Arabidopsis thaliana: one gene and its partner. Each later gene encodes a partner of the first gene's protein in a complex. Each region holds a gene or a part of one and is shown on either strand. Other genes may lie near its edges. The genes, in order: psaJ and PSAF. A codon is read from its position in the direction of its gene.

What was found.
Region 2: the proteins of psaJ (region 1) and PSAF are in contact, whole or in part, in a cryo-EM structure (PDB 7WFE), measured with the Arabidopsis thaliana proteins. Residues at the interface, in NP_051079.1 of Arabidopsis thaliana: Thr6 (codon at 620), Ser9 (codon at 611), Val10 (codon at 608), Ala11 (codon at 605), Leu14 (codon at 596), Trp18 (codon at 584), Pro34 (codon at 536), Asp35 (codon at 533), Ala36 (codon at 530), Leu37 (codon at 527), Thr38 (codon at 524), Phe39 (codon at 521), Pro40 (codon at 518), Phe42 (codon at 512); in NP_174418.1 of Arabidopsis thaliana: Lys115 (codon at 2,418), Arg119 (codon at 2,430), Tyr123 (codon at 2,705), Tyr126 (codon at 2,714), Leu128 (codon at 2,720), Pro136 (codon at 2,744), Leu138 (codon at 2,750), Gly148 (codon at 2,780), Glu149 (codon at 2,783), Thr152 (codon at 2,792), Pro153 (codon at 2,795), Leu156 (codon at 2,804), Glu185 (codon at 2,891), Ile186 (codon at 2,894), Ile187 (codon at 2,897), Ile188 (codon at 2,900), Val190 (codon at 2,906), Ile197 (codon at 2,927).

Annotation. Positions count from the first base shown.
Region 1 is NC_000932.1:64,613-67,563, reverse strand, and holds psaJ (photosystem I subunit IX), read right to left. Parts: upstream 636-2,951; coding exon 501-635; downstream 1-500. Other genes in the region: rpl33 (ribosomal protein L33), read right to left, coding at 1-76; petG (cytochrome b6/f complex subunit V), read right to left, coding at 1,453-1,566; petL (cytochrome b6/f complex subunit VI), read right to left, coding at 1,757-1,852. UniProt on the Arabidopsis thaliana protein: May help in the organization of the PsaE and PsaF subunits.
Region 2 is NC_003070.9:11,213,873-11,218,014, reverse strand, and holds PSAF (photosystem I subunit F), read left to right. Parts: upstream 1-1,873; 5' UTR 1,874-2,075; coding exon 2,076-2,431; intron 2,432-2,694; coding exon 2,695-3,004; 3' UTR 3,005-3,339; downstream 3,340-4,142. Other genes in the region: AT1G31335 (uncharacterized protein), read left to right, coding at 686-898; LBD4 (LOB domain-containing protein 4), read right to left, coding at 3,983-4,142. UniProt on the Arabidopsis thaliana protein: Participates in efficiency of electron transfer from plastocyanin to P700 (or cytochrome c553 in algae and cyanobacteria). This plastocyanin-docking protein contributes to the specific association of plastocyanin to PSI.

The DNA of each region.
Region 1 (2,951 bases):
CTTTCTTAATATCATTTCGAACACAACTGGTACATTCCAAAATAATTGTTACTCGAACATCTTTACCCTTGGCCATGAAACCTCCTTTGGATTTATGATTCACCTCAATCTTCTATTTTAATTTTAGGATCCAGAAAGAACAAGAACAAAAAAAATAGAAGCTGTTAACTAAAAAAAATTCTGAAATATTTCGTTACAATTAATATTTTATTTATTAGTAATTAAATAAAAAAAATAAGTAATACAATGATTTATGATTTTGTGAAAACTATATTTAAAATCTTTGTACAGTAGTTTTTTTAAGTATCTGATAGGTTCCCTAGCAACACTTTTTTTCGTTCTATTACTAATTTCATTGGATCCTGAACCCTCGTTTTTATGACCTTTCCCCCCCCCCCCCACCTTTTCTAATTTATTCTACTAATTAGAAAAGGTGGGGGGGTTAGTCCCCGATTGTTGATTGTATCTCTAAATTTTTCACCCCTTTCTGATGTTAATAACTAGAATGAAAAAAAGGGAAATGTTAATGCATCTGGAAATAAACGATTAATCTCTATTAATAAACCTGCTAACGAACCGAACCATAGAGTACTTAGTACCGGTGCTACGGAAAGATATGTTTTTAGATCTCGCATTAGAAATCCTCCTTCTTTCTTCTTTATTGTATTACATTATATATAGTAATATATATAATTACAGATGTACATGTAATTAAGAAGTTCTTGTATTTGTATATGTAACTTCCGTCCCCCCGCTTTCAAAATTAGAATTTTAATATTGTCGACTAGAACGATCTTATCGATTCCATTTGAAAACGTAAAGGCCTATTTATGTAAAATTGAGAGAATAAAAAAAAAAAAAAAAGTAAATTTTTTAATTATATCTTTGTTATCTGATATGAGAAAAAAAGAAGAAATGAATTTGATATACCAATAAAAAAGAAGGAGGATGTGGAAAACAAGACAGGAATTCTCTACAATGACACTGTAAACCTATTGAAAGGGATGTAGCGCAGCTTGGTAGCGCGTTTGTTTTGGGTACAAAATGTCACGGGTTCAAATCCTGTCATCCCTACCTATTACTGCTCAGAAGAGCAGTAACGAGGTATCTATTTTGATCAATTTTTTTTATCGGACATACATTTAATTCTGAAATTTATGATATACTATGTATGATATAGTATATACGTACAAAATCGAGTCGGGTTAAAGAATGCCCTCTTTCTAGCCTTTTCGTTTTTTAGAAAAAAAAAAAAAGAAAAACGCTCTTAGTTCAGTTCGGTAGAACGTGGGTCTCCAAAACCCAATGTCGTAGGTTCAAATCCTACAGAGCGTGATTTCATAGATTGTATCAAAATTCCACTGTTCACAAATTACTGAGCAGCAGTCTGAATTAGACCTCCCGCATAGGAAAGCAAGAAGGAGGTTAGTAAAAAAACGAGATGTTAATTAATTAAAAGTCCAACTGATCACCACGTCTGTATTGTAAATAAGCAGTTACGAATAATCCAGCCAAAGTAATAGGAATTAGACCTAAGACGATTCCAAATAAAAAAACTTCAATCATTTGAATTTTCTTTTGTTTTCATTTTTGAAAGGGAGAAAAGAGAGGTACTATCTATTCCTAGCTCTTAATCTGTATTGCCAATGAATCTCAATGACCAAAATTTGGTAATTAACACGGTAAGGAACTATCGAACATATTAATAAATACCAACGAAATCCTTTTTTATAAAAAAATCTGCATTCAATTAATTTCAAATAAGTCGTATTTTGCTTAGACCAATAAACAGAACTGAGGTTATAGTTAAAGCTGCTAGTAGAAAACCGAAATAACTAGTTATAGTAGGCATGAAGGGACTCAATAAAATATGTTTTTTTATACATATGTTTCTTAAAGTACTTCCCTAAGTTTCAATTGAAATTTTTTTTAAGAAATAGAGAAAGATAACTAGTTCCAAGAATTAAAAAAATTCAATTGAAAATTTGTGAATTATCAATCATTATAGGTGGTATGAAAAAAAATAGAGAAAGATAAAAAGAACTCAATTCATCGTCTTTGGCATCTGCACTATCTCAGGAGTCAGAATTAACGTAACTTATTAATTGAAAAACTCTTTAAGAAATTAATCATAAAAAAAAATAATACATAAAAAAAATAACTCTATTATCTAACTTCAGTCAAAACATATAACTTTTTTTGAATGAATATGTAAAAATTTGAAAATAAGTTGTTTGATTCTTTTTTTTTATTGACCTTAGAACCTAGAATACGCCTCTTTCTACTTTATTAAAATTGAATTTACTAAAATTTAAACTCATTAGATTAAATTAAATAGTAGAGCAGTTTTCTTCATTTAATCTATCGAATGAGACTAAAAAGAAAAGAGGTATCCTACACGGAGAACGAGATTAGTAAAAAAAAAGATTTATTTATTTTAACTAGATTTTAAACGATAACTAGATTTTTAAAACTTGTAATTAGCAATTTCTATTATCGTTTCCTTTCGAGGTTTTAGGTTTTTTTCTTTCGAGATTATATAGAAAATAGAGTGAAAAACCCATCACCCTTGTAGTTAGTTAAAGAAAGAAAAAAACCTTTGAATTGTGAATTGAATACAACAAAACAATGCACGCATTACAAATATTTAGTCTTTTTTTATTATTTTTATTTGTTGTTCTTTTTAATTGATCCAATCCAATCCAAAACTATTGTTCTTTTTCTTGTTTCTGCAAATTAATTCCTTAAAATGAAACAAAAAGTAAAAGGGGGGATCACATTATCATAAAAAAATCTATTCTACAATTATGCATATGCAATGAAAATGAAATTTATAAATTTTTCATTCAATTAACTTGGGACCATATGAAAATTTGCTTCATGAATTATTAGAATTAGAAACCAACTTCTTGGATTTTCATTTTATCTAATCTTTAGTTTATTTTCTAGTC
Region 2 (4,142 bases), on another chromosome or scaffold:
AGTGATTGCAATTTGGATATGATACTTTGAATATTATGCTGTTTCACTGGGTTTGGATCATTTTACCAATAATCTGTTAAATATCGAATCATTTTGTTTTGTTTAACATCGAATCGTACTTTAACATATTTATTTGGGATTTAGCTATTTATGATGAATATCTTTCATTCAAGAAAGAGGCTAGACATGTGAAAATAGGATCGAGCTATGTGTAAGATCGGACCAGGCCGATTGAGATTGCTGGTTGCATGAGTCCATCAATAGTCCCATATTTATTTGCATTACAATGAAATAGTGGTTACAAATCGTCAAATCCAATGAGTGTCCATCACATTTAACAATTTTTACTTTAATTTTCTAAGTAACTTAACTTGTCAACTTGAGTTTGATTCTCTATACTTTCATAGCCAGAAAAGCACATGAGACATGACTAATGTGATTATAAAAACTAGAAGAAATCGTATGGATGGGCCGACCAAAAAAAAAGATGACCGTTGAGATTTAAACGTTAAGCTTTAAAGCTTTACAAGACATAAACGTTGCGGACAGAATCGGATCCTTCCAGAGCCTCCCACAAACTCATACATATAAATACATGTGAAGTAGAATCAAAGCAAGAACAAGAGTCCAAGAATAAAAATCAATCAGAAAGAAGATTGAACATAGATCTCAAGAGTCAAGATCGATGGGTTTGGTTGTGGTCATATCTCTGCCTCTAATTTTCTTCTGTCTACTTCTCGGATTTGGCTGCTACTTCCTCGGAAAATCTCGCGGCCGTCGTGAGATCCGTACAAATCCTCAGGTGTATGGAGCTCCAGCTCCGCCTCCCGGTGCTATCGCCGCCTCCTCTCCGCCGTTGTCTCCACACGCCAAGCCCGACAATTCTCACAACGTCTGATTTTCCTTCATTTTCTCTTCTTTGTCTGTCTTGCTTGTCTCTATTGGAAGATGCTTTTGTTTGACTTATTGTGAATTGTTGTAACTTGTAATCTTTTGATTGTCTTTAGTTTTCTTGGGATGAATTTCCTTCTTTATTTGTGTATTTTCCTATCTCTTTGATGTAAATAAGAAAGCTAGTAATGGTTTACACATTGATTATTCTATAAGAAACATCTAGAAAAGAAAAAAAAGGAAAAAAAACATCTAGAAATATATCAGAACTTCTTTCACAAAAGAATAATATATATCAGAACTGCGTGTTATTAATTCAACGAGTTCAAACTTCAAAGTATGATGTGGTAACACAACCAAATTCTCCTCTCGGATATAATTAGACCAAAAAAAAAAAGACGAAATATTTTTGCTATAAACAATATATATATGGGTAAATGTGAAGAAATTTGTTTCTTCTGCCAGGAAATAGACAGTTAATACATTGAAAAAATGGTAAAACTTTAAAGAAAAGCATATCTTAAGAGATGAAACCCTAATTAAGGTGTTGAGACTTCAGAGACAGATCAAGAGATCTTATCAGAAGATATCTGTGAAGCATTTCAAACAAACATTACAAAAAATGTAGCCTCCTTCCGGCGGAATGGTAGAAGGAGTTGTAATTCTGCTAATGTTTATTTTGGTCATATATAGATTTAATTCTTTGATATTGCAAACTCATGATCCCATTTTCTTATTATGTGGTTAACCAATAAAAGACTCAATTTTGCAGTCTTACTAATCAGGACTATTTGCCAAAAAAAAAACTAATCAGGACTAAAAAACTACATCTCTTTTTTTTTTTGCTACATATATATATATATATGATTATTTTCAGTGTATATATAATATGTATAGATATTAAAAATAAATAAAAGATAAGTCGTGTGTAGTCCACATATCTTGAACATCAAAATGACAAAACTATTAAAATCCGCGGCAAAATCTCTTATCCAGTGACATGTTACTTATCAACCAATCACAACACGCCACCTCATCACCCCAAGACCACTTCTCTTATCTTCCTCTCCCTCCACTAATCCCCTCAAGAATCTAAAGCTCCTCCCATAAGTCTTCTCTCCACACTTCACCCAAAACTCCAGAACCCTAGAATTCGAAATCTCCAAAGAACCCGACAAAGCGCCATGTCGCTCACTATCCCGGCGAATCTCGTTCTCAACCCGAGATCTAACAAATCTCTCACTCAATCCGTACCTAAATCCTCCGCAAGATTCGTCTGCTCCGATGACAAATCCTCCTCCTCCACACCTCAATCCATGAAAGCTTTCTCCGCCGCCGTCGCCCTCTCTTCCATCCTCCTCTCTGCTCCTATGCCAGCTGTCGCTGATATCTCAGGTTTGACTCCTTGCAAGGACTCAAAACAGTTCGCTAAAAGAGAGAAGCAACAGATCAAGAAGCTTGAATCTTCTCTTAAGCTCTACGCTCCTGAATCTGCCCCTGCTCTTGCTCTCAATGCTCAGATCGAGAAAACCAAACGCAGGTTCGTCTTCCATTTCTATTTCTTCGTTAAACCAGAGCTTTTTCTCTGTTCTGAAACAGAGCTTTCCTCTGTTCTGAAACAGAGTTTTTCTCTGTTTTAGTGAATTACTTGCTAGATCCATTGCTTTAGTATGATTTTTTTGGTGAGTTAGTGAGTTTTCGAAGTTGCTAGACATGTTAAATTTGATCATTGATATGATCTATTGAGGAGCTTGTGGAACTGTGGATTGGTTTGAAGTTGATGTGCTTATGAATGTATGTTAGGTTCGACAACTACGGGAAGTACGGATTGTTATGCGGGTCAGACGGTTTACCGCACTTGATAGTGAACGGAGACCAGCGGCATTGGGGAGAGTTCATTACTCCAGGGATTCTTTTCCTCTACATTGCTGGATGGATCGGGTGGGTTGGAAGAAGCTACTTAATAGCTATTAGTGGTGAGAAGAAACCCGCGATGAAAGAGATCATCATCGATGTTCCTTTGGCTAGTCGGATCATCTTCCGTGGTTTCATTTGGCCCGTTGCTGCCTACAGAGAGTTTCTCAATGGTGATCTCATTGCTAAGGATGTTTAAAAAGGGAACTTGTTTTCTGCTTTTGTGTTACTCTCTCTAATCTCTTTGTTTTCCATTGTACTTATTGAAAAACAATGCATTGTCGAAAACCTTATAAAATTTGGATTGCGCAAGTAGAAAGAATTATGGCTAAAATGGTGATTGACAGATTGTGATTTTGCGGTCTAGTGATTGCTATGTGAAGCTCAATTGCTTGAAGGGAATATCCTGATATAACGCACAGGAGCATAACCAAATTTACTTAGTATAATGCTATTTTACCACTCTTGCATTTGCATGAATGCAGGAGAAGCTCTTGAACTATAATAGACTAAATTACTTGTGTTTCTTCTTAAGCTCACTGTAAATTTCTTACCACAAGCACATGCTCCGGTCCGGTCTTTCTGTTTCCTTCATATGCGAGCGATTCTATCAGCGACTATCAAATGGCAAATGTTTGCAAGGAAACCAAAAAATAAAGACAAATGGGCCATAAGTTTGCATAATAAAAATTCAGGCCCATACAAGTGCTTAGTGCTAATTGCTAAGCTAGACTTAGCTAGTATCAAAGATGACCATTACACGATAATATGCTCACAGAGTCAAGCACACACCATGGGTTACATGATCATAATTGTATATAGATATAGATAAATAATATATCTCACAAATTTACATTAGGTCAATAACAAAGATCCCTCCTCGGTTGGAAATGATCAAAATAACCCTACCGGATCATGATCCAAAGGTCCTACACATACACCAAATCCCAAATACCCCGGAATTACAAAGTTACAAATACTAATAAATATATAGAGAGAGATTTATAATATATAAATATATTTAGTATTTTTATGTATCTATATCATGTTAATAATTTCACTCTGTAGTCAAAACAGAGCATTTTCATATCCTACCCCTAAATTTAATATATAATAATCCCGAAATTTCCCAAAAAAGGAAGAGGAAATTGCAGTAGCAGAAAGAGAGCATTATTGACTAGCAAGACCACATAGACTCTCCCAAACTGGCTTCATCCACAATGTCCATATGGCTAAACATGCCCTTGTTGTCCTGTGGACTCACTTGCTTCGAAGACGGTGACCCGCTGCTACTCGGACTATCCGGGCATAGTCCGTGCCCTGGGAAATTAGTCGAC